Linked DNA regions of Lonchura striata. The protein of the gene in region 3 interacts with the protein of the main gene of each other region in a biochemical or structural test. Links are inferred from orthologs where the notes say so. Each region holds a gene or a part of one and is shown on either strand. Other genes may lie near its edges.

Region 1 (7,769 bases), on a different chromosome or scaffold from region 3:
GAAGAAGTCTAATGTGAAAAGCTGACATTAGTTCCTGAAGAGTTGTATTCATTACCTGGGAAGGAAACAAAGATGATAATAAGATATAATGTGTTTTAATATCAGGAGACTAAGATGGAGTCCCCATATAAGAATATTGCCTCTGCACAAACTAAACTACTCTACAGCCAAGAAACTGACGTAGTCCTCTTCTGAATGTATACGCACTTAAAAAAAAATCCTAGCCTTGCTAAGGACTTACGTTTTCCAGTTTCAGATGCCTGGCGAATTATTAGCTCCTGACCTCCCCCTGGCCCCTTCCAGTATGCCCCTACCACCCACACACAACTACACCCATCGTTAATGTGACTGAATGTCTTACCCTAACTTTAGAGACATCTCATAATCAGAGGCAGAATTTGCTGCTACCAGTGTGACTGCATGTCCTGAGAAAGGTCATCCTAAAGGCTTGTGAGAAACTTCTGAACTAAATTATAACAGAAGAATCTCAAGGGATCCAAGTTTTTAACATTTTAATTACCTCCAAGTACCAGTTAATGCTGCTCAGCAAAGGAATCAATATCAAATTAACAGTATAAAGTGTCAAAAAAATTGTTACAGTATTAAGGATACTAATCAATGTAAGCACTTCATATTATGGCCCAGATTCTGCTTCTGCTAAAGTGAAAAGGAGTTTTGTCACCAAATTCAAAACAGTGTTACCCCCATTGTTAGGTAAATCTTTGTTTGAATAAGATATTGAGAATTCACTGAAAATTCAAAGTACCAGATAAAAATGCTGGATTTGCCGTAACAGCTGACATCTAAAGCCACTGCTTGTGTGTGAAACCGAACAACTTATGAAGGCACAGGCTGTCATTGGAAGATGTAACCCTTTAGCACATTCTGCGTCACACTTGTAAAGTCAGATCAAAATTCAACATCTAATACACACAAAAAAGCTGTAAAAAAATATGTGTGGTTTTAAAAGCCTTGTCTTCAGCTAGCCATGCCAGCAGTAAACTTTGTGTTTGTATTTTCTCCAGCCTAAGACAAGTCTGTCAACTAAATACTTCCTCTCCTGTGCTTCATTTGGAAGGTAAAAATCATACAGCCGCACTTCAATTCCTAGCAGCAAGTCCTACTCGGGCACCAAAATACATGATAAGGCTGCTAGTACAGAAACTGCCAGAAATGTTTCATCTATACAGCATTTGTGACCAATTTGTATACTGAAAGTTATCACCTGATCCAAATCTAGCTAAATTCAAAGAGAAAATTTAATTTTTTCTATAAAAGCACTGAACTTGCTGGCAAATTTACCTTCAGCCATCCATACAAAAACTCAGTGTCAGATGCTGCTAGTATCGGCCCTCAGCAGCAACTGAACCTTGCTGGGATTTCCTTCTGCAAACAGTATCGGCATCAAGCAGCACCTGCATTTTTGTACAGCTGCAAGTATGTGACATTTTGGCGTCCAACAGACGCTGACAGATGAACAGGAAAACTAAGGAAAAAAAAAAAAGCAGTTCTGAAAATCACTTCAAATGTGCTTTACATGCAGTTCTGGCTCCTGGTAGGCCTTATATGACTCTTTCTTGAGGGTAAAACCCTGCCTGCTTGCAACGTGCTTTTGCACGCGCTGAGCAAACAAGCCACAAAACCAGATATTTTTTTTTTTTTTTTCCCCCTCACTTATTAAAACGGTAGTACTCTTAGCTGCTCACTGTCGCAGTGCTGGACAGAAAATGCTGGGACTATCAGTAGACGGTGCTCTCATACACTGGAAACGTAGGAATCACAAACCACGCATTCCAGGGGCTGAACAGCCAATAACTCCATGCTTTGATTAACTTTATGAAGAAATGTCAAAACGCGAATTTCCCTCTACTGCTTTTGAGGAACACATGGGCAAAAAACTGGGGGTTTCCTTGACAAAAATAATAAAGTCTTTCTGTATTTGAGCTTTGAGATGCAGACTGACCATACATCAAAGCAATTCTGCTCGTTTCCAGCATTAACTACCTCCGGTGTTACCATAACTTAAAAAAAAAAAAAGGGCAAAGCAAAACCCACACACCTTACAAATATTTTTCATTTTTCTTACTCTCTCCCTCTATCTTTCTGCTTATGTGCTTTTGCATCACAAAAGTCAACTGAGCTCCAGCGCGTACTCTGCCCTCAGAGTCAATAGCCCTCACCGCTTGTACAAAGCGACAAGAAAGAGACAAAACTTTCCTTAATCCCTCTCCTAAAAAAAAAAAAAAAAGCAAAGCCGACAGGGCGACCACCATCAGCACAACCAGCGCCCGGCGGGCTGCTGTCGGGGCGAGCCGCCAGCACCCCGCTCCGCGGCTGCATCTCCAGGGGCAGCCCGCCCGTCGGGGCGGCGCGGCGGGAGCGCCGCGGCCCCGGGATCCCGCCTCACCTTCCACCCGGCCGAGCTGTTGCTGTCGCCCTTGTCCTTGAAGTAGGGCACGCAGCGGACCATCCAGTCGTAGATCTGGGAGAGAGTGAGGCGCTTCTCCGGGGAGCTCTCGATGGCGCGGGTGATGAGGTCGGCGTAGGAGAGGTTGCCCCACGCGTTGCGCCGCGACGAGCACTTCCTCGGCGCCGCCGCCGGGCCCCCGCTCAGCCCCCCGCCGCCTGCCGCCGCCGCCGCTCCCCCCGGCGAGAGGCTCGGTCCCTCCGGGCCGCCGCCGGGCAGCGGGGCCAGCAGCCGCGCCGCCTCCTCCGGCACGGCGGTGGTCGCCGCCGCCGCCGCCGCTGCTTCTCCGCCCGCGGGAGCCGCGCTGCCGACGGTCATGGCCGAGCCGCCCCCCTCCTCCTCGTCGTCCTCCTCCTCGGGGATCATGGAGGCGGCGTCGGCGGTCGACTCGCCGGCGGGCTTGGCTGGGCTGGCCTGCAGCTCGGGCCTCTGCAGGGGCCAGGTGCAGGAGCGGGGGCGGCTCTGCGGCTCGAACTCGGGGTCCAGCTCCACGTCCAGGGGCGAGAGCGGGGCTGGGGGCGACGCCTCTGCCATCTTGGCCTCCCCCGCGGGCGGCTGCGGGGCGCTGCGACGGGGCGGGCGGGCGGCCGCCGACCCCGCTCCTCCTCCGCCGCCTCCTCGGTGCCGACGGGAGCCTAGCAGGCGGGGGTCTGCCGGGCGGGCATGCCGCGCTCCGCTATGGGCTGGCCGGCTCTCCGCTGCGCCCCGAGCCCCGCTCCCCGCGGGCGATGCGCACGCCGGAGCTGGGAGGCGGGGGGAGAAGGGGAGGGAGGGAGTTAAAAAAAAAAAAAAAAAAAATCAGATTAGGAGCCGGAGCGGCCGCGCAGGGCGGCAGCACGGGCCGGGCGGTGCCGGAGGTGCCCGCGGCGCTGACCTCCGCGCCGGCGGAGCGGCGGCCGCTCCCGCGGTGCGTGTGTGCGTTTGTTTATGTTTCACTCCATGCGGATGCAGAAGTAGCTTCAGCGAGAACCGCGCTGTATCCAGCCGGGAGAAGACCCCCTCACGCCCCCGGTGCCTCCGAGCTCGCTCCTCGTCGCTTCCGCAGATATCTTGCCTTTTGGGGGGGTGGTCCTTCGCGCCCTCCGTCGGCGGGAGGGCAGGGAGAGCGGTCCTTTGGGTTACACCGAAGACTTTTTCCTTCTTCAAAACGCCCTAAAGGGAGCCGAAGTCTTAGCATACATCCAACTGCACACTAGCGTAAACCTGTCACTTTGCAGTGCCCCCAAGCCAAGCGCAAGCAACCCCCCAAAATCTCACAGCCGACGGACGAGGAGGCAGGAGAAGGCCACCCCGGGGGCTGCTCGGTTAAAAAAAAAAATAGTAATAAATCCTCCTTCTTGCAGGGAAAAAGCAAATGCAACGGGAACAAATCAAATCGCCAGTCTTCCAACAGGTCCAGTAGCTTTAAGCCCTCCCTAGGGCTGCCAAAGAGAATACGTTTTGTTCCAGCATCAACACCACATTCATAACCTCCTTGCTCCTGCTGCTGCCATCTTGACAGTTTTTCCCCCCTTCACTTAAGTCATTTAAAAAGCGCAGGCAGACGAGGCAGGCAAAGCCACATCGGGAGGGGCGGGAGACGGCGGGGGGGTGCTGGATCGAGAGCCACCTCCACAACCGGCAGCAATCGAAATCCGAATTCACGGGAGGAAGAAGCAGCGCTGCTGCATGGTTCCTGCTGCTCCTGCGCCTTCAGCTCCAGAGAGCCTTCCCTTTAAAGGCGAAGGATGGGAAAACGGCAGAGCGCCCGCTCCCCCTGCGAGCAGCCGGCGAGAGGCAAGCGATCCGCCCGCGCCCAGCCCGTCCGCCGCCGCAGCCCGCCCGAGCAGCCTGTCACCCTGCTCGCCGCCGACTTCCACATCCCTCCTCCTAACAACCACCGGCAGCAACACAAAGTTATAGACACACGCAGGGAGACTCAACCAAACCGCACGGGTCGGCAGGGCCCGCCCACGGGCGGGCGGTGCCGCGCAGGAGCCGCCCCAACGGGGCGGGAGCGCCGGGATGGGGGAAGGCGCCGGAGCTGGGCGGGCTGGAGAAGCCGCTGGCGCCTGGGGAGGGCAGCGCTTCTCTGCTTGCCGTCCCTGCGGCCCCGGAGCCCTGTCCGGCCGGCCCAGTGGAAAGCGTTCAAACCTCTCCAAGTACCCGGTAAATTTTTCCAAGAGTTGTATTAGGCCTGTTTCTTTTCTGTACTCATTTTCACTGGTCAAAAATTATTAGTGCACACGAGCTGTTCTGGTAAACTTTAAAATACAGAGTCTAATTTAGTAATTTGAAAACTTTCACTCTGCCTGTGGGTGATTCCAGGAACGTGTTCAGACATGTCCACACGTGAAATACAATCTCGCTGTACCTCCCTCTTAGAGGCTATGCCCTAGCAGAAAGCCCTCCAAAGTAGCTCACTTGAATATGTAGTTAATTATGGGTTGAATAAAGGGGTGACCCACAAAACCAAGGAACATAAAAGCTATTAATATGGATGTAGTTATAAATACTTCATATGGCAACTTCTATGTATCAGTTCTTACCCGGCTTGATACCGACCTAGACTGTGGTGGACTAGATTTAGTCCAACATGGTCTCCGAGACAAGATACAATAGCATGGACTGAGAAGCAGTGTGCTTCAGAAGATGTGCCGGATAAAATTAGCAGACAAACTATTCCTGATGTATTGCATTATAGACAAGTAGAGAGATTTGTAAACCATTCAGTTTGATTATAAAACAATCGAGACCCTGATCCTGCATGCCTCACGCGTGCTACTAAGTAAGGCCTAAGGCCCTAAGTGTCTAGTTCAAGAGCCACTGAAGTTAGGAATAGTTTAGTGTGATTTTATTACAAGGGACAGCATTTCAGCATGCATACAATTAATCCCTGGTTGTCTAAATATAGCAAAAGACACCGAATTAATCAGAATAAATGCAGGTTCAAGTAATGGAAATAATTTTCACTGCAACTCCATTTTGGGTCACAATGTTGAGTGCCTTGCCACGGCTTTTGTTGTAACATGGCCCCTACAAAAATGCAAGGCAGCTCAAAAAGACACCAGCCACTCTCCAATTGTGACACTGGCATTTGTGTATATGATTTAGCAGTTGGTAGGGAGGAAAACCACAGTGGCATTGAAGAGCCAGCAACCAAGTTCAGACAAAAAGGTGTGGTGAGAAGTTGCTTAGGCCAACTACATCTCCAAGGAGGCTTTCCTTGTGACGTTCAGCAGTTAGCCACAGAAGGCCACCTGTGAAACTGTGACCGGTGCTCAGCCCTTTCCCAAAACTAGCTACTGCTTGGGGCTGATTTTCACCACTGCAGAAACCTCCACATGGAGCGCATCCCAAAGCTCCAGGGAAGCACAGAACTTTGACCTTGGGCTGGGTTGCAAGCAGCAAATCTAGTCCTAAATGATATTATCATCTTCATTTATTTATTTAATTGGCATTGCATTACTCTACCAGCACTGCTATTAGGTCTCATTGTACTGGATGAAGGGCCTGCACGTGGTAAGAAATGCTCCACTCCCTGGCAGAATTGCAGTCTAAGTGAGGCAGGAGAGGGCGGGAGAAAGGAAGTAACTAAGTAGTAACCCTATTAAAAAGATGATGGACTGAGGCACTGAACAATTACATGACTGTACTGAGGTCATACAGGAAGCCCATGCCAGAACTGAGAAATGACACTGGATCACCTGAGTGCCAGCCTTGAGCAAGATTATCTGTCCTCTTCAGAATTCACTGGTATATCAGTCGCACGACCTTTATCACACGTCATGGTACCAGTTCTTCACAGCTCCGTGCACCACGTGTGTGCCCATGATAATGCAGTCTAGGGGCGTAATTAAAACCACAGTATAATTTTTCCTACACATTTTGCTTATGAAAAGTGCATGAGCAAAACAGAAAGTCACAGGATGTATTGTCATTCCATGGCTGGGGCCTCTGAAATACGCATAAAAACTGATGAAAATTGAATCTAAAGCTTGCACAATTTTCAGTCTCTTCCTTTAAGTACTTTCATGCCCCAAGGGTGGGATTTTCCAAAAGGCTCCATTTATGGGATTTTTATCACTGACTTCAACAGGAATAAAGTTAGGCCAGCCCTCAGGCCATTTGAAAGCCAGCTCACTTACTTTGCCTACTTAGACTGCAAGTGTTTTAGGGCAGGGCTGCTTCTTCCTCTGCATCTCCTTTTATCTGCTGTGGCCGTTCAGGCTGATGTGGGAAACCTGTGCCTATCACGGTATCTGGATTATATGGATCTGGCAGGGTCACAGTCACATGGCAATTGGAGACGTGCAGGTGACATTTCTGGCTTCACCTCTCACACAAATATCTAACTGCAAAAGCAGGGCTGGAGATAAAGTCACATGGGGGGTGGGAGACCTGGAATTTCTTGTCAGTACAGCATTAAGGACATCTCCTGTGAAGTGTACTGCCGCTCAATAAATTAATGTTATATTGCACTTATGTTAAACAACAGCTGCATTGTCTACATGGACCTCACACGAACAAGCATATCATGGGCTGTTTTGTGAGACACCTGCAGCCTGGTCTCTGAGAAGTTTGTCCCCTGTAATAACCCTGTGTACCCCTCCCATCCACACCATGAGAGAGTGGCTCCTTTAGTGTGTTTTTGTTCTTCCCAGAGTTCCCTACTGTGTCCTTTAAACACAGACTGGGCAATAGGCAACAGGCTTTGTGGCTGATTCAGAGCAACCTGGATGCTGGTGATTAGAAAGAAATGTCATTTATAAAGCAGCCAGATTCATACCCTGAGACTTTAACTTTTTGCCCAATTTGGCTAAAACTGGCTACTGGGTTTCACAGTTGTTATGGAAAGATTGGCTGACTGGCAGACACAGAACAAGGGTCCAAACTGTGCCATGGAAACTTGATGGGTTTGCCAAAGATGGCCACAGATTTCTAGCTATAAAATTTTCCCTGAAGTGATGAACAATAACTTAAAGATCACCTCAAGCTGGCTTCAAACTGGACTCTCAGCATTATTTATGAGGCCTGCAATACTGGTATTACCCTGATATCCCTCTTCTTAATGTGCCATTGAAGGAGCATCTCAGCTTCCATCTTAAACCAATAGCTAAGTTCTTGATGTGCTATGAATGTGATACAAATATACTTTGAGGCCCAGGAAGAAAGATAAGGGGTGGGGAAAAAGCAAAAACTAATTGCGTATTTTAAATCCTTTTTTAAAACCTGCTCTTTAGGCTGAGATTGCTCAAAAGCTTGCTTAAAAGATTTTAAATACTTGGGGGTACATGCAGTTCTTGAGTTTATGCAATTAGCA
Region 2 (7,583 bases), on a different chromosome or scaffold from region 3:
TGCTTGCTCTGGAATATTTAATTATTCACCCAACATCAGGCAATAAAAAGATTTAGCAAGGATTGCTAAATTCATCCTGCACCTCACAGCTTCTGGGCTGTCACACAAGACTCCCATGCTTTTAACTTTATTTAGCTGGAAAACTGGGAATTTCCCCCTGGAATGGGGGAAAAACCTCAACCTGCAGGTCTCAAGCTCTAAGAAGAAGCACCAAAAAGGATAATACCCGAGTCACCCCCTGTGTAAAACTGCTCTGACAGCTGAATTTAATTTATTTAGCTGAAAGCAGGTGCTCTCTTTGGGGTGAAGGCAGAATTTTGCTGTCACAGAGCACTGACAAGAGGAGCAACACCAAGGCTTTATTGGCCCAGTCTGTACAAACACCACTTTTTGAGAACCAGACAGGCAAGGGTGACGATTTTCACAGTAAACCCAAAGTCTCCGTGCAGCTCCACCTCCAAAAGTCATTTAACTGAAAGGATTTTGCAACAGCAGCTCATGAAATTTGCTTCAAGAACTCCTAAAATTCTGGGCATCATCTCCCTCCAGCCAAGAAAACTCATCCTATTTCAAACCTGAGCCTCAAATCCACCTTCCTTTGAAACATAAACAGGAATGTCACAGTTCCATCAGGACACATTTCACAGACACCCTCCGTGTGCATGAACCACCAGGCAAAGCCACCAGAAACACCTGACGTGCTCAAGGAGCATCAATTAAAAAAGAAAAACCCATCCCCACAACTCCCACTGATTCCCTAATTCTGTAAATTCCCTGAAATGCTACAGAGGAAGAAACCAAGTTCTGTTTTGCAAACTGAGTAGAGGAAGGGTCTGAATGATGTTTCATCACTGAAATATTGTAAGAGCCAATGGATTATGTTTTTATAACATCAGAAATCAAGAATATTTGACACAGAATTTTATTCTCAAATAGTGACAGAAGTCGAATTCTGACATTTAGAAATTGTACAGAGAAAATTCAAAACGTTTTCTTGAACGATGCTTAAGTAATCTGGGGGAGTTTGGGGTCCTCAAAATCAGCTGCTTTCAGCAGTGAAAATATTATTTACCTAAATTTGCCATTAGGACACTTGGGAGAAAATTTGCTCACCCAGAAAACGGACAGAACTCCATTTTTTTCCCTCAGAAATCAGTAAAAGGGCAGCACATCCGACCAGAGAGCAAGTGAGCAGTCTCTAGTCAAGGTGCCCAGTCAGTGCTCCAGATTCCATTCCACAAACACACAAAATTATTCCTTAAAACTCCAGGAGCACTTTCCTCACAGGATTTCTTCCACTCCCAGCCTGTACAGGAACATCCCCTTGACAGGAGCTTCAGAAATAAACGCTGCAGCCTAAAAACGTCAATATTCTATCCGCATCAGGGATCTGATGGCCGGGAGAGAAAAACACCCCAGAGATCATTTATATCATCATTTCTATCACTTATACCGCCCCGGATCCTCACTGAGCACTGGAAGCCAAGGCTCAGACACGGATCTGGGGGAAAATTCACAGAGGACAGGTAACGACGCCCATTGACGGCGGTTTAATTAGAGATAAAGTAGAGTTGGTCAGCGGGCAGCGCTCGGGGACGCGGCTCCCGGTGGCCGGAGCCTCTCCTCACCCCCGAGCACCTTTCCCTTTCCCTTTCCCTCGTTACCGAGGGGAGCGGGACCCTCCTCACCCCCGAGCACCTTTCCCTTTCCCTTTCCCCGTTCCAGAGGGGAGCGGGACCCTCCTCACCCCCGAGCACCTTTCCCTTTCCCCGTTCCAGAGGGGAGCGGGACCCTCCTCATCCCCGAGCACCTTTCCCTTTCCCTTTCCCCGTTCCAGAGGGGAGCGGGACCCTCCTCACCCCCGAGCACCTTTCCCTTTCCCTGTTCCAGAGGGGAGCGGGACCCTCCTCACCCCCGAGCACCTTTCCCTTTCCCTGTTCCAGAGGGGAGCGGGACCCTCCTCATCCCCGAGCACCTTTCCCTTTCCCTGTTCCAGAGGGGAGCGGGACCCTCCTCACCCCCGAGCACCTTTCCCTTTCCCCGTTCCAGAGGGGAGCGGGACCCTCCTCATCCCCGAGCACCTTTCCCTTTCCCTCGTTACCGAGGGGAGCGGGACCCTCCTCACCCCCGAGCACCTTTCCCTTTCCCTGTTCCAGAGGGGAGCGGGACCCTCCTCACCCCCGAGCACCTTTCCCTTTCCCTTTCCCTGTTCCAGAGGGGAGCGGGACACGGGGGGACTCGGGGCTCCCCTCCTCACCCCCAGAGCACCTTTCCCCCATTCCCGGGGGGAGCGGGACCCTCGTCAGTCCCAAAGCACCTTTCCCTTTCCCTTTCCCCGTTCCAGAGGGGAGCGGGACCCTCGTCAGTCCCAAAGCACCTTTCCCTTTCCCCCATTCCCGGGGAGAGCGGGACCTGGGGCTCCCCTCGTCACGCCCTGAGCACCTTTCCCTTTCCCCCATTCCTGAAGGGAGCGGGACCCTCCTCACGCCCAGAGCACCTTTCCCTTTCCCCGTTCCAGAGGGGAGCGGGACCCTCCTCACCCCCGAGCACCTTTCCCTTTCCCCGTTCCCGAGGGGAGCGGGACACGGGGGGACGCGGGACCCGGGGCTCCCCTCGACACCCCCAGAAGCTTTTTCCCCCCGTCCCCGGGCCCGGCAGCAGCCCCAGGCCGCAGGGCAGCGCCTCAGGCCCGGCGGCGGGGGGAACTCCCCGCGGTTTCGCAGCGGCCGAGGCCGCGGCCTGCGCCCGTCCTCCCCTCACGGCCCGCGGGGGCGGAGGGTGGCGCGGGGGGAGAAGCGGCGGCGGCGGGCGGGCCGAGGGAGCGGGGTGGGGTGGGGGGGACGGGGCGGCCTCCTGAGCCCGAGCTTACCTCAGAGCCCCGCGGGGCCGCGCCTGGGGAGCGCCGGAGCCGCCGCCGGGTCCCGGCCCCGCTGCCGGCCCGGTCCCGCCTCAGGGAAGCGGCGGCGGCGGCGGGGGCGGGCCGCGACCATAGAGTGCGCGCCCAGGGGCCCCCGCCATAGAGCCCCAGCGGCGCGGAGCGCGGGCGCCGGGCTAGAGCGGCCGCCTGGAGCCGGCCCCGCCCGGCCGCGCCACGGAGCGGAGCGGCGGAGCGCCGCCGGCGGGCACGGCGCGGCAACAGCGCCCCCGCCGGCCGGAGGCCGCGCCGCGCTCTGGGGCGGGAGCGCCGCGAAAATCCCGAAATTCCCGAAATCCCCGAAATTCCCAAAATTCCTAAAATCCCCGAAGTTCCCGAAATCCCCAAAAATCCCGAAATTCCCAAAATCCCCAAAATTCCCCAAATTCCCGAAATCCCCAAAAACCCCGAAATTCCCCAAATTCCCGCTATTCCTAAAATCCCCGAAATCCCCAAAAATCCCGAAATTCCCCAAATTCCCAAAATCCCCCAAAATCCCGAAATTCCTGCTATTCCCGATATTCCTAAAATCCCCGAAATTCCCGAAATCCCCAAAAATCCCGAAATTCCCAATATTCCCAAAATTCCCGCTATTCCCAAAATCCCCGCTATTCCCGATATTCCCAAAATCCCCAAAATTCCCAAAAATCCCCCAAATTCCCGATATTCCCGCTATTCCCGAAATCCCCCAAAATCCCCCAAATTCCCCAAATCCTGCAATTCCCGAAATTCCCGCTACTCCCAGCACAGCGGGTGCAGCCGGGTTTCAGCGGCAGGGCCGCGTCTCCGTGGCCGTTCCTCACCCGCTCCCTGCGGATTTTTAGGAAGTGGCACTAAAGGGCTTCGGCCCCTCTCGGGGTTATTTATTCCACAGAGGGTTTTAGGATCACAGCGTGAAAATTCATCTGCTACGCTTGGCTTTCGGCAAATATTACAATGAATATTAGATGTGTCACGTCAGAAAGTTATGCTGTATTAATTCTCTTAAGTGGTGTGTTAAATATAGTTTTAGGTTACAACATAATGGTAAAATAGAGCCTGTGTATGTAGGGACAGTTTTCTTTTTAGGAATGAGGTGCTCGCTTCGAGGAACACCGAAATCTTCCCAAGCAGAGGAATTTATGGTTTTCTTATCAGAAGAAGTTAATTTCTTCAGGCCTTGCTCAGACTCGAAGGGACATGGGGATTAAAGGAAACAGTTAAAAAACAACAGAATTCTTGTTTTAAATAAAATGTATGCATAACCATGAAGGATATATGAATATGCAGCAGTGTATTGTTTTAAGGTGATTCCTTTGTTCACAAGGGATGCTTTTCATGACTTAAGTGTCTGAAAGCATCCAGACATCCATAATTCTTTGCTTTTTATTATCTTGTAATTCTCCTAACTCTAAACTTTATTACTCTAATTATATTATTATTTTTATAACCATTTTATTGTTATTAAACTTCTAAAATTTTAAAAACCAAATTATTGGCGTTTTTCACAACAGTGAGGATTTGGGGGCTCCCCTCATGGGACAGTTCCTCAGCCATCACTGGGGAGAAGAGGAAATTCAGTGTTCCCTGAAAAGCACCAACTGCAGCCAAGCACCTCTAGGGACAGGAATGTGATTTTTTACAGGATCTGGGAATTCCTGAGCTGGAAAAATCCCTCCGAGGCCACGGAATCCAACCTTGTTCCCAGAGCACCGAGTGGCACCTGCAGGGACGGGCACTCCAACCCTCCCTGGGCAGCAATAATTCCAATTTGTAATTCCAATTTGTAATTCCAATTTGTAATTCCAATTTCCATGGGGAAATCCCTCCTGATTTCCCTGGGATAAATCCCAAACTCACCCCCCAGCTGTCCCCTCCTGTCAGGGAGTTGTGCAAAGCCAGAAATTCCCCCTGATCCCCCTTTTCTCCAGCTGAGCCCCTTTCCCAGCTCCCTCAGGATTCTCCAGCTCCACTCCCTGCTTTGATCCCAAAAATTCAGATTCCCAAAGTTACAGGTGCAGGACACTGCCCAGCCCAGCTCCTTCACACCCCCAGAGCTCCAACACTTCTCCACACACAACTGACAAAAATACAAAAATTTTAAGATACTTACAAGTTCTCCCTAAGCCCAGGATCAATTTTAACCCATGTTTTCTTCCTTAAAAATAAAATTCCTTCATGGAAACAGCGCTGGAAGGACTCAACAAGCAACCAGGCATCAATATTTATTAACACAAGACAAAGGAAACACAATCAATGCGTTAATGGGACACTGTCCAGCCAGGTGTTAAATTTAAAAATGTAGCTAATCTAATTTTAAATAAATAAAACCTTTATACATAATTACAGAATGCCGGAGTCTGGATTGGACAATGGGAAAGAGGTTGACAGAAATAAAAGCAAAAAAAAAAAAAAAAAGAAAAAAAGCATCTAGGGCTAAAATTGATCTGGTTTTTATAACATTATTTTAGGACAGTTAGTAGGACACAGCTGACTTGATTTAAACCAGAAATGAAGTGCAAATTCTAACAAAAAAGGACAAAACTGCCCCGTTCCCACAGCGTTTGCTCAGAGAAGATTCAGAAGCAGCGAGACACACACAATACACTTCAGTCCAGTGGGAAGAATTCCCAGTTTTTCAGTTTTAATGCAGTTAAGCTGGAACCCCAGGGGCAGAAAAAAGGGAATAATGTGCCCTGTGCAACCCCAGCAGCTGCAGTCACACTGGAGGAGAGGCTGGTTTCTTTTGGGAAAAACACCAAAACATTCAGCCCTGCCCACCTGCCAAAGTCTGGAGTGAAGGATTTTGCTTTGCTCCCCAGAAATATGGAAAGATCATCCCCAGCTGCAGAGGAATGACCTGGGGAAGGCTCAAATCCTGAGCAGAGCTGGAATTTTGGGGATTCCAGAGCTCCATCCTTCCTGGATTGATAGAAAATTCTCAAAGCACTCGGGGAATTCAGGGAAGCCAAACTGAGCAGCGTCCCTGGAACCTTCTCTCATCCCACGGGCTGTGTCCTGCACTTCTCCAGCACACAGAAATGCAACGTGCTAGGAGATTTGGAGCACACAGGGAACTTGCAAGATAAAAAACTCAAACCATAGGAAGCTATCAGTACCTATCCAAACCAAAAAATAAGGGGAAAAAAAAAAAAAAAAAAAAAGATCAATCCAGTCACAATCAAAAAATGCCATTTCAGGAATTTCACCTGCCACATTTGATGGAATTCATTCACATGTTGTTTTATTTGTGAACAATCACGAATAAAAATAAAAGACAATCCTGGAATTGGACTTAAAATCTACTTCAGTGGATAAAAAAAATGTTTGTTCAGACAATTTATCTAAAGGCTTGAGTAAAGAAGAAGGTCCAAGACCACCAGTTTTCCCTGGAAAGGTCACACTGGAGTGAAGCTGCTTGGCCAGGCCTGGGCTGTGCAGGAAACACAAAAACGGTGACAAAGAACACAGAAAACCAGGAATTTTCTGGCTGAAAATGCACTTTACACCCAAAATAAGCTGCAGAACCAACTGGTTTAGTCTTTGACCTGCCACTGTCCCCACTTTGTGTTCAATTTGTTAAAACTAAATATATTGAAGATTTTGTGCATGTTCTGCAGTGTTGGCTGATACTGTGGAAAACACAGACAAGGTTCCCAAATGTGCCCCTGAAACCCAAAGTGTTTGCAAAGAACCTTAAGTCCAGACCTGCCACAAAACTTCCAGTTCCTACGCCCCCACCAAATATTTTTCAAAAATACCATTTGAAACTTCTGAGTTTTAAAGCTCCTGCTCTGTGAGGAGGATGCAGCTGGAGCTTTTCAAGGACACAGCTGGGGTTTGCTCGTGGATCCACTGGACTCTGCTCCAGTAACTGCCACAGGATCTTCCAAGTCCACACCATCAACCTTGTAAAAACTGCCTAAAAACTTCACGTGAGGTAATCTGGAACATTTGAAAAGTTTATTTACACTGTATTCCACATCTGACTCAAAAAACCAAAAAAAACCAAAAAAAAAAAACCCTGTTGCAGGATCTGGTAGCAGCTCCCAAGGCTTCCAAAATCATACATTAGCACCCAGAGAAGTGTAATTGCTGTTAAAAGATGAAGAATTAAAAAAAAAAAGAGATCATTTTGAGTCAAAGCTCAACCATCAGCTCTCTCCCAGCCCTGCTCCCCAGCAGGAAGAGCTTGGACCTGCTGCTTTCAGGTTTCTCTTTCTTCCCATTCCCTAATGCTGGAGTTGACACAGGCTGGGATAAGAGTTTTCACAATGGTATTTAAAAATGTGTTTGCCAGAATTACTTGTTCCTCCAGCAAAAGAAAAATTGTGTCTGACTTAAACCTGGAATTCTTGCAGGGAATGCTTTGAGGAGAGCATTTTTTGGTTGCTCCCAGTTTCCACTAAAGCCTCTTCACAGTAGTTCAGGGAGCTGGAGGAATCCCAGAGGAATGGCACAAGCAGGGAATTCACCTGGATTTCCTTTCCACACCTGGAGCCACAGGATGAGGCTGTCCCTCAGTTCCTTCCTTGCCCTGCCATTTCTCCCCAATTCCGTGCTGAATTCAGCCTCCTGGAGAAAGATGTGCCTCAAAACCAAAGGGTTCTGGCCAGAATAAAGACACAAATGAAATCAGAAACCTGGGGAAGGCGGGAGCATCTCACATTGTGTCTAAGCCAATGCCAGG
Region 3 (6,931 bases):
CATTATTAAATCCTCCTGCTCTCTTTGAGTTTGTTGCATGTTTGGCATTACTAGTGAGTGAGGCCATCCAAGTCTTGCAGTACTGACACCAAAGGGCTGTGATACCCAGGGTACTCTTAGGCCTTCAGGGTATTTAATCATAGCCCTCTTTCCAAGGGGCAGCTGGTAACAGCCGAGGTCTTCCTCTCCCTCCTGCCATTAACCCAGCGCTGTTCTGATCCCATGGCAGGGGATCTGATCCCCTTAGGGGCCATCCTAAGGGGACATTTCACCACAGAGAAGCTGCAGGACACAGCAGCAGTAGGATCCTCCTCCTCTGCCCCTGCTGCCTGGGGTGAAGGATTCCCTCCCTCCAAAGCACCTCCTTTCCCTCCCACTCTGCTCCTGGGACTTGCAGCCCCGCTTTGACTTCACTGGTGTGGCAAGCCTGGCACTTGCTGTAAAGACAGAGGAGCTCTCCCAGCTCATCATGGCCTCCATACATCCTCTGCTTTTCTCCCAACAGCGGGTACACAGCATTTCCCTCAGAGGCACCGACACAGCAGCTCCTGTCACAGCACTGGGGCTGTCAGCGCCTCAGCAGCTGTGTGCTCAGGGCTGCAGTACTGCTGTAACATGGGTGTGCTGCCCAGCACCAGGCAGCATGAACATCCTCTGGAGAGTGGCAGTAGCCATGGGACCACTCAGGATCTGTCCCCAGTGGTAAATCTCCATCCTGACTTTATCCCAGAGCTGCAGAGTTAGTGCAGCAGCAGGGAAGGGGGTGATGAGGAAGTGCTATGGAGGGCTCCTGGTGTCAGCCACTCCAGCATATCCTTAAATGATGTAATTGAAAAACCACAGCTTCCTTTGGGTTTGAGGGGCTTTAAACACCAGCTCGTTCCACCTTCCTGCCATGGGCAGGGACACCTTCCACTAGCTCAGGTTGCCCAGGCTGTAATGACCAAGGCAAGCACAAAGAGTGATCCAAGACACAGTTCAAAATACACCAACTAAACTTGTTAAAAAGTTCAAGCAGGAGCCAGAAAAAGACCCTGTTGTCCTCGGCTGTGACTTAGAATCTGATGTGACTCCCACCCCTCACCTCCAACAGCAAAACATTTTCCTTTAACCTAAACTGGAATAAATGCTTTATACCACAGTAAAATGCTGCTGGACAGGAGCTGCTGCTTTTACATCTAGAGGCACTGTGAGACACCAAACCCTGTCCCACACTGAAACATCCTGAAACAGATGGGAACTCATTGCTTTTGAAGGAAATTAAAGCAGGCACAACCAGAGAGCACTTACTTGTGTAGCTAATGAGTAGTGCAGTGATAGAAACAGAGGCCTGACAGACCTCCACGTGATTACAGCCAGACCTCAGCAAGGACAGGCACCATGTAAATAAATACAGAATTTGCAAGTAAATGTAATGAAATTCATGTAAATGTAGAAGTAAATGTAATGAATTCGAGTTTTGCAGTAAACAAAACGCAGACTTACTCTTTGCAAAGTAATCTGTCATTATAGATCTCCTTCAAACCAATAAATTATTGCTGTTGAATCCATCTCAGCTTATGGAGCTTGTCAACAAATCCTCAGAATTGTGTCCAGATCTTCTCCAGCCTCTCCTCCCATTGTGGCTACCTTTGGAGGACATTCCAACATGAAGATGATGAAAACAGCCCCAAGCAACCAGTTTGGGTACAAGGAGCTCTGCTGCCACACACGTCACCGGGGCTTATATGACCTGATTCTCAGGTTGGGAACCAGTATGGAAATCTATGGAAGTATATGAGCTCCAGTCTTCTAAACCTGTTTTGGGCTGGGGAAGTCTGTCTAGACAGAGCAGAAAGTGTTTGTAAAGTGAGGCTGGGGTTTGATGCTGGTGCCTGAGAGTGGGTCAGCTCCGATGGGACACTTGCCCTTGTGTGTGGCTGCTCTGAGGGCATGGGGAAAAATGGGGGCACGGGGAAAAATGGGGGCACGGGGAAAAATGGGGGCACGGGGGAAAATGGGGGCACTGAGGGGGAGCTTGGGAGGGGATGTTGTGATGGGCGCATTGAGAGGGAATGTCCACAGTAGAATTGAGAGGGGGAACTGCAGGGGGTAACTGAGAGGGGACATGCTGAGGGGGACATTGAGAGAGATCCTGTCTGTGGACTGAGAAGGGAAGTTGAGAGGTGACTGAGGGGAAACTGAGAAGGGAGACTGTGAGGGGGATGGCTGTGAAGGGGGCATTGAGAGGGGACATCTTTGGTGAGACTGAGAAGGCAAACTGGAAATACAACTGTGAGGGACTGATAGGTGTCTGAGAGGGAAAATTGAGGACGATTCAGGGAGAGATGAGAGGGGACATCCATGGTGGGATTGAGAGGAGAGACAGGGGTGAGGGCTCTTAGGAGTATGTGGGGAGGAAAGACTATGAGGAGGCATTGAGCCATCCGTGGTGGTAGTGAAAGGGGAGATTGTGTGGGTGACTCTGAAAGGACTGAGAGGGGAAGGGGGGATCATGGGCAGACATGGAGGGGACACTGTGCGGGGGCACTGCGACATCCGAGGGGAGTCAGAGAGGGGATGTGGGGGGAGACTGGCAAACGACTGAAGTGAGGGATCTGAGGGACTGAAGGGAGACTCTGAAGGGCCAATGAGCCATCCATGGTGGGACTGCGAGGGGAGATTGTGGGGGTCCCTACGAGGGGACTGAGGAGAAACGGGGACTGTGGGGAGGCATGGAGGGGTCGCCGTGAGGGGAGCACTGAGACATCTCTGGTGGGACTGAGGGGAGACTGCGGGGGACGCTGTGAGGGTGGAACAGACATCTGAGGGGAGTCGGAACACTGTGAGGGGACAGCTCTGGGTCCTGAGGGGGAGCAAACAGGAAAGACCAGGCGAGGACTTTGTGGGTGGGAGGGAGAGAAATGCACTCTGAGGGGACTGAAGGGAGATTATGAGGGGGCACCGGGAGCAGGCACCTGAGACATCTGAGGGCAAACGGAGAGGGGACGCTGCGAGGGGGTGCTGCGGGGGGAAGCCCCGACTGAAGCAAACAGGGCAGACCGAGGCGGTAGCGGGGCGCACCGAGGCGGGGCAGGGCGGCGGAGAGCGAGCGCACAGCACCGCCGGCACGGCGTGCGGGGCGGGGTCGCCGCCCGACCCTCCCGCCGCTCCCGAGCCCCTCAGCGGAGCAACTGAGGACGGCGCCGGCCGCTTCCGGCGCCGCGCGCGCCTTTCCGGCAGGGCGGGGCCGCGCCGCGAGCGCGCTGACGCAGCGCGCAGGCCCCGCCCCCGCCCCGCCCCCGAGGGCTCTGGAAAAGAGAAGAGAAAAAAAAACTTTTTTTTTTAATTGAGGAATCAACAGCCGCCATCTTGTCGCGGAGCCGGAGCGCGGCGCGGGCGGAGCGGGCCGGGCCGGGCCGGGCCGGGGCAGCGGGGCCGCCCCGCCGCCGCACGGGGCAGCCGCGCCGAGCGCCGCCGACGCGCACAGGGGGCTCGAGCCAGCGGGGCGCAGCCGCCCGGAGCCAACCGACCGCCGCCGCCGCCACCGGGAGCCGCCGCCGCCGCCGCGCCGCGCTCATTGTTTTGGGGCGTTTTTGGGGGGTCGGCGCGGTTTTCCGCTTTTTGGTGATTTTTTTTCCTTTTTTTTAATTTTTGCCCCCCCCCCCCCCCCCCCCCCGCTCCCTTCTCTTCTCCTCCCCCCCCCCTCCTCCCTCCCCTACCTCAGCCGCGGGCGGGCGGCGGGCGGGGGCCGGGGCGAAGCCGCCGCCGCGGAGGGGAGGGGACGGGGCGAGGCGAGGGGAGCGTGTGGGGGGGCGGAATGCGCCCCGAGTGACGGCCTGAGCCGCCATCCGGGCACCGCGGCGGGGGGAGCGCCCGGGAGGAGCGCGGCCGGCAGGGAGGGGGCGCTGGGCCCTTCGCTCCCCGCCCCGAGCCCTCCTCCCTGCGGCCTGCGGCGGCCCGGCATGGGGGAGCGGGGGCGGCCGGCCGGGCACTGAGCGGCGCTGTTGGGTTCCCGTGCGGCGGAGGAGCGGGGACAGCGAGCTCGGCCCCCCCCGGGCACCCCCCGACAACGATCGCCGGCTCCGCCGCTCCGGCCACCATGGCGGAGAACTTACTCGACGGGCCGCCCAACCCCAAGCGAGCCAAGCTCAACTCGCCGGGCTTCTCCGCCAGCGATAGCACAGGTAAGGCCGCGGGGGTGGCTCGGGTGGGGCTCTACGCCGGTTCTCCCCCACACACCCCCCCGCCCCCGCCGCCCCGCCGGAGGGGGGGCCTGCGGGACCGCCCGCCCTGCCGCGGTTCCTGGCGGGGGTGGGTTGGGCCTCCTGCAGTCGAAGTTACCGGGCGGGACCCGTACGCCAAGTACCGTCCCGGCTATAAATAGCGGTTGGAAAGAGACGTTTTTCGAGTTAGGTTTCCCATCTTTTCCTCCATCATCTTCGTTTTTAGTGCCTCGGTTTGGGTGATGGGGGTGGACAGGTGAGCGGAGTGCGGGTAGGGAAGCGACCGTCCTGCTTGTTGTACGATCGTGGAATGGTTCGGGTAGGAGGGGACCTTAAAGCCCGTCTTGTTCTATCTTCTGCCATGGGCAGGGACACCTTCCACTATCCCAGGTTGCTCCTAGCTCCGTCCAGCCTGGCCTTGGACACTTCTAGGGTTGGGGCAGATGCAGTTTCTCTTAGCAGCCTGTGCGGAGGGCCTCACTGTCGTCAAAGGAAGGAATTTCTTCCCGATACGGAATCTAAATCTACCCTTCTTCAACTTGGAAGGGTAGTTAAGTTTCTGTCTACTCCTTAAACCCCACAGATTACCCACAGCTAATAGCCCTATACAGGCTTTTTCACTGTGCCCCTGTGTGTGACACACTACGGAATAAAAACTCCTTAATAGCTTCTTAGTCATAGAATGATATGGGTTGGAAAGAACCTTGAAGAACATCTAATTCTATCCTCCAGTTAATACTTTGTGCTTTTTTTTACCTCCCAGCCTGTGACCGAGGTTTTCGGGCATTTGGCTTAAACTGTTTCAAGCATTTTTCCTTTAAACCCCAAACGATTTGCCGATAATAATTGAAGTTGTGGGGTTGCTCGTATGCCGAAATGCCCAGCAGCGTGGCAGTCATTGCGACTTGCCTGCGTCGTGTGTAGTGTCTCTGGCGTGCCTTTTTCTTCAAATGTGATGGATTTGTAGATAATAAAACAGATAAAAATGTCTTGTTTCCAGCCAGTGTGTGCCCGTTGTAAATACACACGTGTGCATAAGAGCATGTGTGCCTGGACCGACCGGCCTCTACCGGTGTTCCGACTGTTTCAATCCCTGAAAGAGTGGTTTCAGAAGAACTTGAAGTCTGTTGCACTTTAATTTCTGCTTTCAGAGATTAATGAATCTTGTGGAAGGGATAGTGATAAGTTAATCATGCTGTGCCTGCTGTGTTTTCATAGACTGAAAAAAAATACTACTATAATTGAGCTGATAAATTCTGTGGGTTTTTTCGTCTTGCTCCATCTATATTTGGCAACACTTTACAGATGCTTTGGTCCTTTAGGGTTTTTTTATGGAAACCTTTTTTCTCAGCCTGCAAATAAATTAAACAAGCGAGAAAGAAACAGTATCGAATTAGAATTGTCAGGGAATATCTAGGTGAGGTCTTGTGATCTTACCCCCTTGTGTGGAAGCACTGGAATATATGGAAGGCTGATACACAAGTTGCTGCGAAATGCTCTTTGTAACTCAGGACAAATACAGTTTATAGTTCTTTAATACTTCAGTGAGAAATTTTAGACTCTCCTGGTAGCCAGTGTCTTGGCTTGTTTTTTTTTTTCTTCCTTCGTTCTTTTTTGAAGTTCACTTGGGCTGTTCTGGAATGCTTCAGTCTTAATTACGTCCTGTTCAGCAAGTTCTCGTGTGTCTCGGGGAGCTCTGTGTGGCGCTGGATGTGTGAACTCCAGCATCTGCAGAAAGTTCTGCAGGGCTCAGGGGGCCTGGGGGCACCGGGATGGCAAACCCCAAGTTGTATTCTGGACAAGTGTGTCCAAGGAGTTCTGTCATCATCCTGGTGTTCCATAGGCAAAAGTACCTCTCTGCCAAGGGTGTGGGTGATGTTTGTGCACTTAAAGAGAGGCTTGTTTTTAGGAAAAGCACTTCTAGGTTTGTTGCCAGCAGTTAATGCTGCTTGTTGAAGGATTGCTGAAGGTTTCCGTGCATTGTGGCAGGCGATACAAATAGTTTGAGTAGTGATTGCTGTCAAATGCCTGCTCCTGGAACTAAACCAGGCTGCTCCCTGCTGCTGGGGCTTAAATAGAAAAGTTCTGTTGCAACCTGGAAAGTGGCCTTTGTGATCGAGGGAGCCTGGGGAGATGGGTCTGAGGCTTTTGCCCTGGCTGAGCAGTGAGTTGAACAGAATTATTGTAATTGCAGCGGTAGCCCCACACTGGTGGGTGCTGTGGCTGCCGTGAGGGGGATGAGGGGGACGTGCTTTCACAGCCTCTGCATTGGGCCCAGCTGAACAGTTCTGCTCAAGCCTGCGAATGCTCACACCCGAGGCTCTGATGGCAGACCTGAACGTTGGGCAGAAAGCAACTGCTCTCCTCCTTGTTTATATTTTCTTGATGCTTTGATGCGGTGATGTTAAGCAACTCCTTTTGTCAGGGTAAGTTTTAGCTGCCTTTAATCTTTCTGATAAAAATAGCTCCTCAGCTTACCGGGGCAAAGTTTGTGCCATTGAAATTGGTCTGCTTACCTTGTGAAAATACAGCCTTTTCTGTTAAACCTCAGTGGTTAAATTCAGTGTCTGGTCTTGCAGAAGGGTGCAGAGATGAAAGGATAACAGAAATGGGTGCTGTGACCATCGTTAAGTTTCATGATAGTCTCATTTCGCAGTTGCCGTGCTGCTCTTTGTATCAATAAGGAAGGTTAAGACTCCTGGCTGTTAACTTCACTTGCCATTGCT
Region 4 (8,014 bases), on a different chromosome or scaffold from region 3:
CTTTTATTTTTTTTTCCTAGCCTTTTTAATTTTTTTTTTCTTCAAGAAGAAAAGGTCCAGTCATTAAAAGGAAAAGTGAGAGGGAAACAAAAAAAGGCAAAATCGCCCGGCCAAAGCTGTAAAGTAAAAATGTGCAGGTCGTGGAATGCGGGCTGTAAAATCCGCAGAGGAGAGAGCCATAAAGCGCTGCTGAATGGGGATGACAACTCCGTCTCTGCTCGCGGGTGGAATTCCGCAATTCCGCGAGCGGGATCGCACCCTGGGCACCGGGAACGGCAAGGGAAGGGGGGCTGCGGGGAAGGGACCCCTGATTTTACGCCCTGACTCGAGTTTTTCTGGTTTTAAGCTCAGCTGATCCCAGAACATCCAGGTTTTTTGGGTTTTTTTTGGAGGTTTGCTCTCTTTCCAAAGCCTCTCCAGCGCTGATCCTCGCAGCGTCACCGGCTGAAAGAGGAGTGAGCGGGGGGGGCTTCTTAAATCTAAAGTCGGATAAAAGCGGAGATGAAGTGTTTACGACCAGAAATATTTGGTCTTTGATAAATCAACTGTAAAAGCGGATGAATTATGGAGCAGGTAATGGAAAGGAGTGACCACCGAATAAGTGCGAGGGAACTCCCGCCTGCCCAGCCCGCCGTGCCTCGGCTGCTGCGCCCTGCTCCTCCTTCCCTCCGCTTCCCGGCCAGCCTGGGCCGCTCTCCGCTCGCCCCCAGCTCTCCTAACGAGCCCTGCCGCGGATTTTCCGCCGCCGCGGAGCGGGGCTGATGCTCCCAGGTTGGGCCAGCTGGAAAAGGAGCTCGCGTCCCCCCGCCCGTGCCGCTCCCAGGCGGGGCAGCAGCGCCTTTCTCGCTCTTCTCGGCATCCCACGGGTGTGAGGAGCCCCGGGCACCGTGACCAGCCCACGAGTGACCACGGGCATCGTGAACAGCCCCACGAGTGACCATGGGTAGAGTGAACAGCCCAGGAGTGACCACGGGCACAGTGACCAGCCCACGAGTGACCACGGGCATCGTGAACAGCCCCACGAGTGACCATGGGTAGAGTGAACAGCCCAGGAGTGACCATGGGCATCGTTAACAGCCCCACGAGTGACCATGGGTAGAGTGAACAGCCCATGAGTGACCACGGGCATCGTTAACAGCCCCACGAGTGACCATGGGTAGAGTGAACAGCCCACGAGTGATCATGGGTAGAGTGAACAGCCCATGAGTGACCACGGGTACAGTGACCAGCTCCACGAGTGACCACGGGCACAGTGACCAGCCCACGAGTGATCACGGGCAGAGTGAGCACCCACACGAGTGACCACACAATGACCATCCCCACGAGTGACCACAGACACAGTGACCAGCCCCACGAGTGACCACGGGCACCGTGACCAGCCCAACGAGTGACCACGGGCACAGTGACCAGCCCACGAGTGACCACACAGTGACCATCCCCACGAGTGACCACAGACACAGTGACCATCCCCACACCGTGACCATCCCCACGAGTGACCACAGACACAGTGACCCTCTCCACACCGTTACCATCCCCACGAGTGACCAGGGGCAGCGTGACCAGCCCCACACCGTGACCATCCCCACGAGTGACCACAGACACAGTGACCAGCCCCACACCGTGACCATCCCCACGAGTGACCACAGACACAGTGACCATGCCCACGAGTGACCACAGACACCGTGACCAGCCCACGAGGGCAGCGTGACCAGCCCACGAGTGACCGCGGGCACGGAGGGAGCGCCCAGCCAGCCCCGGAGCGCTCCGGGCGGCCCGGGGGGAGCGGGGCCGCGCCGGGCCCCTCCCGCGGGGGGCCAGGGATATTTATTGGGATATTTATTAATCCTTAATTGACGTTAATGCCCCGAGACGGAGCCGGAGGCAGCCCGGAGGGTCGGGACATGTGCGGGGCCAGCGTGACCCGGAGCGGGGTCACCCCCGGAGCCGCCCCAGCTCCAGCAGGGCCGCCCCGAAAGGGCTTTCCCCGAGGGTTTTGGGACAGAAGGCGCCGCTCTTGATCCCATTTCCATCCCTGCCTCCACGCCGGGCTGTCACCGCTCGGCGAGCGCGGATGTTTCCGCGGAGCGGGGAGGGATGCGCTGCCGCTGCGGGCACCGCAGCGCTCGGGACAGCCGGGCCGAGCTTTGGCCGCCTCCAGGAGAACAGCCCCGGCCCTGGAAGCGCCTCCCGTCGGGGGCTTCACCCCGAGCCCCTGTCCCGGAGCGCGCAGCCTCCGCCCGTGCGCACGGCGGGGGCTGCCCGCGATCCCTGCGGCTCCGTCCGTCCCCTCCGAGACAGACAGACAGACAGACACGGCCCCGATCGGTATCTGGAGCTACAAGCGCGGCTTGACGGCAAACGGGGGCGCGGAGGAGGACAGGAGGGGGGTGGCGGTGTGTGGCTCCCCCCACCCCACCCCACCCACCCCCTCCTCTCTTTCCAAGACGCGTTTCCAGCGAAACGTCACGAAAGGAGCTGGGGACGACCCCCACCCCCTTCCTCCTCCGCACGCCAGCAAATAATTCCCGCTCCCCCCACCCCCAGCCCCCTCCCGGCCCCCGGCCGCCCTCCCCCGGCCCCAGCCCCCTCCGGGGCTCCTACCTGTGCTCCTCATCCAGGGGTAGATGCGGAAGTTGCTGTCGCCCTGCAGATCCGCGTCCCTCTGGTCGCTTTTGCTGCAGCTCTGCTTGGAGGCGTCCGCCGGGCACATCAGGGCCAGGTTCTGCTCGAAGGGGGCACAGTGCATGTTGAAGGAGCCGGCCTCCAGGCCGTAGCCCGCGGGGTACACGCTGGGGGGCTGCGGGTGCACGGAGCTGCCGCCCGAGTAGAGGCCGGGCATGGAAGCGGCGAAGGGCGCCGCGGATCCGGCCCCATAGCCCGCTCGCTGGCTGCTGGAGGCGAAAGCGCAAGAAGTTTGCTCGGGAAACACTCCGGATGGGAAAACCGAACTTGCGGCTTGATATTTAGAAAATAAAGCATTCGCATAATACAATGAACTCATAATTTGGCCGGGTGATTTGTAGGTCGGGACGTTTTAGTGTCGGTTTTACGAGGTACCGTGATATATTACGGAATTAGAGTCCAGATTTACACCAAAAAAGAGCCTTTTTCCTCCCGGCCCCGGTGACGCGCGGGCACGTGGCTGCGGCGGCGCCAATCGCCGGCCGCCCCCTCCTCGGGGGCACGGGACTGTGCGGCTGGATTTATAAAATATGATAAATAATTGATGCCCTATAAAACCCTGCACGAGCTCTGCTGGAAGGGGTGAAATTGTGCCGGAGTCGATAAGCAACCTGTAATCAGTTTTCAGCTCGGAGCGAGGGAGAAAGGGGAGGAAAAAAATTAAAAAAGAAGAAGAAAAAAACAACATGAAAAAGGGGAGGGGGTTACAAGCACGTTGCTGATAAACCAGCGAGGCTCTCTCGGTCTCTCTCTGCTGGAGGAAAGGGAAGGGAGTTCTATTTATCCCTTTATTGATCCCGTCTAAATTTCCCTCCTTTGCACCATTTCCTCGTCTCCGAGCTACTTTTTCACCAGACTGGCCATAATTCCCTCCCCTCCCCCCTCGACCCTCGCCCCCTCCTCAACCCCCTCCCCCCAAAAAAAAAAAAAAAAAAAAAAAAAAAAAAAAAAAAAAAAAGAGACAAATGTCTCATTGATACCTAATAGTTCCAGGCGTCTTTTTTTTCCACCCCCCAAAATGCCATTCAGCTCTATATCTAATTTATTCCAGTGCCACAGGCTTTGAGCTGCGCATCGAGCTGGCATTTGCTTTTCTTGTTGGGGAAAATAAAGAGCGCTGGGATCCCTTGTTCCGCGTGTCAGCGCTTCTGCAGGGCTCAATTCCAGCCAGAAGTCAGACCTGAGCAGCTGGCTGATTTGCTTTCTGCTGGAGAAGCGCAGGAACCATCCAAAACCGCGATCTGGCTCTTTCTCTTCTTTTTTTTTTTTTTCCTTTTTCTTTTTTTTTTTTGTGCGAAGAGGCGGCGGCCCCGGCTTGGGTGGGATGGGGAGGGGAGGGCAGGGTGAGGGGCATGTAGAAAGAAATAAAAAAAAAGCTCCGGGAGGCAGGAAAAGCAGACAATGGTGCGGGGTTTGTGGCGATTTCTCCTTCCCCAAGGTTACGAGCGCCGGGGGAAGCGGCGGCTCAGCTGCGCTGCTCCCGGCGCGATCCCCCAGCGGGGCCGGGAGCGGCCGGGCTGCCGCGGGAGGGCGAGGGCACCAAAACAAAAAGCCACCAAAAGCCACCAAAAGCCACCAAAAGCCTCCAAAAGCCACCAAAAGCCACCAAAAGCCACCAAAAGCCACCAAAAAGCCACGAGCTTCACGAAACGTTACCTGCAACAGCGAATTCCAGGCGGCAGCCCCAGCTGGGAGCTGCGAGGAAGAGGAGCAGGAGGAAGAGGAGGAGGAATGGAAGAGGAGGAAGGGAACAGGAGGGAAAGGAGCAGGAGGAAGAGAAGGAGGAAGGGAAGAAGGAGGAAGGGAGGAGGAGGAAGAGGAGCAGGAGGAAGGGAACAGGAGGAAGGGAACAGGAGGAAGGGAACAGGAGGAAGAGGAGAAGAAGGAAAGGAAGAGGAGGAAGAAGAGAAGGAGGAAGAGGAGCAGGAGGAAGGGAACAGGAGGAAGAGAAAGAGGAAGGGGAGAAGGAGGAAGGGAAGAGGAGGAAGAGGAGAAGGAGGAAGAGGAGAAGGAAAGGAACAGGAGGAAGAAGAGAAGGAGGAAGAGGAGCAGGAGGAAGAGGAGCAGGAAGAAGGGAACAGGAGGAAGAGGAGCGGGAGGAAGAGAAGGAGGAAGGGAACAGGAGGAAGGGAGCAGGAGGAAGAGGAGTGGGAGGCAGAGGAGCAGGAGGAAGAGGATAAGGAGGAAAAGGAGCAGGAGGAAGGGAAGGAGGAAGGGAAGGAGGAAGAGAAGGAAGAAGAGGAGCAGGAGGAAGGGAGCAGAAGGAAGGGAACAGGAGGAAGAGGAGCAGGAGGAAGACGAGCGGGAGGAAGGGAACAGGAGGAAGAGGAGCAGGAGGAAGAGGAACAGGAGGAAGAGGATCAGGAGGAAGAGGAGCGGGAGGAAGGGAACAGGAGGAAGAGGAGCGGGAGGAAGGGAACAGGAGGAAGAGGATCAGGAGGAAGGGAGCAGGAGGAAGAGGAGCGGGAGGAAGGGAACAGGAGGAAGGGAACAGGAGGAAGAGGATCAGGAGGAAGGGAGCAGGAGGAAGAGGAGCGGGAGGAAGAGGAGCGGGAGGCAGCGCGGCTGCCCCGGGCCCTTCCCCTCCCCTCGGCCCCGGCCCGGCAGCAGCTCCGAGCCCGGCCGAGGTTTTGCCTTTTATTTTCGGTGGTGCACAAATTGACTTTTTAATTTCCTTTCTATCCCAGCGGTCCTGGAGGAAGCGGAGCAGGGCGAAAGGAATGATGTCACGGAATTCTCGCTTGTAAACTTTATTGTAACTTTTCTTCCGCCGCTTCCAGGTTTAGACAATAGAACAAAGTGGTGAAAGAACAACAAAATATAGCATTAGTTCCCCCAATAAAGTAATTCACGTATACAGTATACATTCTTTTTCACAGTTAACCTAAAGATCACTTTACAACTTGCTTCACTGTGCGCATGCTAACTAAAGGAAAGAAAAACGCTTTTTTTTTTTTTTTGCATTTTTTTTTCTTTTTTCCCCTTTTTTTTTCTTATGGAAGAGACATTGAAAAATTGTGTTAAAAAAAAAAAAAAAAAAGGAAAAACCCCAACTAACCAAGGCAAAGAAGAGGAGGGGAAAGTGAAGAGAGAGATAACTATAGCATAAATAGGCAGTTTCATGTTGTTGGGATGCTTGTCTCAATAGCTACCTCCAGTACATACAGATAAACCACAATAACAACAACAACGACGACAACAAAAAGGATGGGAAATAAGGAACTAAACATCCAAATTAAAATAAAAATAATAATAAAATAAAATAAAAAAGTGCACAAATGTAATCTCACAGAACTCCTCTAGCGCTGAAAGCTATGTTAACCACCCCACCCCCCGCGCCCCCGGAAAGAAGAGAGAGACAGAGAGAAAGACAGAGAGAGAATTTCACAGTCATGTTTTACAGAAGCTATTGCGTTACACTACCGCTAGTTAATAACTGGCAAAAGGCAGCCGGGAGCTGCCGGAGCCTCCCGCGCTCTGCTCATTGTGTCAAAGGATAATCGGGAAAGTGGCGCTTACAGCTATATTGTTTTACAGCAATAAAAGGGATTTTTTTGTGGTTTTTTTTCTTTTTTTTTTTTTTTTCCTGCTTCCCCTTTTTTCTCTTTTCTACGCTTTGTTTTCCTGGTTTGTTGTTTTTGTCGTGTGCCCCCCCCCCCCCCCCCCGACCACCACCCCCACCCCTCCCTTACAGCAACTCTCATTAACGCGGGGCTCGGGGGCTCCTCCACCCCAGCAGCGCTTGCCTTTCAGTCCTCAAAATTCCCTTTATTTCTTGTCCGCCTTCTGTGCTTCCCCTTCCTCGTCCACCTCCTGCGCTCTTTCCATTTTCTGTTTTTCCAGTTCTTCCTGCTCGCATTTGCTGCTGGGAAACTTGTCTTTGTTGTTCTCCTTTTTCCATTTCATCCTCCTGTTCTGGAACCAGATTTTGACCTGCCTCTCTGTCAATCCCAGGGCATGCGAGACCTCGATCCTCCGTTTGCGGGTCAGGTAGGGATTAAATAGAAATTCCTTCTCCAGTTCCAGCGTCTGGTAGCGGCTGTAGGTTTGCCTCCCCCTCCTGCGTCCGGCGGCTGCTGGGGGATGGCAAAGGTTGGGTGGGAGAGAAGGGGCGGAAAGGAGAAGGAGGTTGAGAGAAACATAAACCAGGCTCGGGGAGAGGCGCAAACAACTCGCAAAACCCCCCAAAAAACCCCGCGGGAAGGCAGGAGGGCGAGGGGGAGACGGTTCAGAGGGAAAAGGGCGATGGTGGCAGGGGAAGGGAAGGAAAAGGGGAGAGGGAAAAGGGAGAGGGGGGGTCGGTCACCCTCAGCCCACCCCAGCAGCCCGGCCGGAGCTGCGCTTTGCACACCGATTATCACCCCCAGCACAACAACAGCGCAGCCCGGCCCGGGAAAACCCCCAAAAAGCAGCAAAAAATGAAAATAAATAAAAGGCTGCGGCCCGCAGAGAGGCGGCAGCGCGGCCGAGAGCCCCAATCGAACGGCAAACAAAAATGAAGGGGCTTTTTAAGGCTATAAAAGTGCCATAAACTTTAAGGACGCTTCCTTCCACAGAAAGCCCGGCTCGCTCAGCCCCCAGAAGAAAAGGTCTCCTTCAGGGTAATTAAACTATAAAGCAATTTACAAGTGCAAAAGTTTACCCCCATAAAGCACTAAAATACAGTCACCGGGGGCGAGAAAAAGGCAGCGAGAGAAAGAAAGGCAGCAAAGGAGGGGCAGAGAAAGCAAAACGCCGAAAAGAAAAAGAAAAAGAAAAAGAAAAAAGCCGAGGGGGTGGCGGGTTTGGGGGGAGCTGGGGCTGCTCCGGGGCGCCGCTCGCCGCTCTCGCCTCACCTTGCGGGCGCATCCAGGGGAAGAGCTGCGTGGGAGAAGGGCTCTGCTCCGAGCTCTCCGCCTCCTCGAGGCCGCCGGCGGCGAGCTTGCAGTCGGCGTAGGGCAGCAGCTCGGGCTCCTGGCCGCCGAACAGGCTCTGCCGCTGCAGCGGCTCGTAGCCGTAGAAGTTGGCCGGCTCGCCGTGGCACGCCACGGCGCACGGGTTCTGCTGGTACGGGGAGCTGGAGAGCGACGAGGCGCCGTGGTAGAACTCCTGGATTTGGGGCGGGTGCTGGAAGGTGCCCCCCGCGCTGGGGCCGTACACCACGGTGGGTCTGCCCCCGAGCTCCTGAGCGAACCCACAGTCATAGTAATTGGGGCGCAGGGAGTCGCCGGTTTTGTATTTGGAGAAGAGTGAGTTGACAAAATAGGAGCTCATTTTAATTTCAATAAGAGGTTGTTGGTTTGTTTTTTTTTCCCGTTGTTGTTGTTGTTTTTTTTTTTTTTAAAGCAGCGGG

The links.
Region 1: the proteins of CREBBP (region 3) and FOXO3 are reported together in a solved structure, tested with the Homo sapiens proteins (2 studies listed by BioGRID, with this or other methods). The link is inferred for Lonchura striata from reciprocal best matches to the Homo sapiens genes CREBBP and FOXO3.
Region 2: the proteins of CREBBP (region 3) and ATF1 form a complex in vitro, tested with the Homo sapiens proteins (2 studies listed by BioGRID). The link is inferred for Lonchura striata from reciprocal best matches to the Homo sapiens genes CREBBP and ATF1.
Region 4: the proteins of CREBBP (region 3) and HOXB7 form a complex in vitro, tested with the Homo sapiens proteins (2 studies listed by BioGRID). The link is inferred for Lonchura striata from reciprocal best matches to the Homo sapiens genes CREBBP and HOXB7.

The regions. Positions count from the first base shown.
Region 1 is NC_134605.1:69,784,069-69,791,837, forward strand, and holds the start of FOXO3 (forkhead box protein O3), read right to left. Parts: upstream 3,017-7,769; 5' UTR 3,002-3,016; coding exon 2,408-3,001; intron 1-2,407. UniProt on the Homo sapiens protein: Transcriptional activator that recognizes and binds to the DNA sequence 5'-[AG]TAAA[TC]A-3' and regulates different processes, such as apoptosis and autophagy.
Region 2 is NC_134629.1:8,961,299-8,968,881, reverse strand, and holds the start of ATF1 (cyclic AMP-dependent transcription factor ATF-1), read right to left. Parts: upstream 3,002-7,583; 5' UTR 2,870-3,001; intron 1-2,869.
Region 3 is NC_134618.1:3,873,316-3,880,246, forward strand, and holds the start of CREBBP (CREB-binding protein), read left to right. Parts: upstream 1-3,931; 5' UTR 3,932-4,081; coding exon 4,082-4,166; intron 4,167-6,931. UniProt on the Homo sapiens protein: Acetylates histones, giving a specific tag for transcriptional activation. Mediates acetylation of histone H3 at 'Lys-18' and 'Lys-27' (H3K18ac and H3K27ac, respectively).
Region 4 is NC_134627.1:8,098,463-8,106,476, reverse strand, and holds the start of HOXB7 (homeobox protein Hox-B7), read right to left. Parts: upstream 3,002-8,014; coding exon 2,602-3,001; intron 1-2,601. Other genes in the region: HOXB8 (homeobox protein Hox-B8), read right to left, coding at 6,451-6,758, 7,518-7,935. UniProt on the Homo sapiens protein: Sequence-specific transcription factor which is part of a developmental regulatory system that provides cells with specific positional identities on the anterior-posterior axis.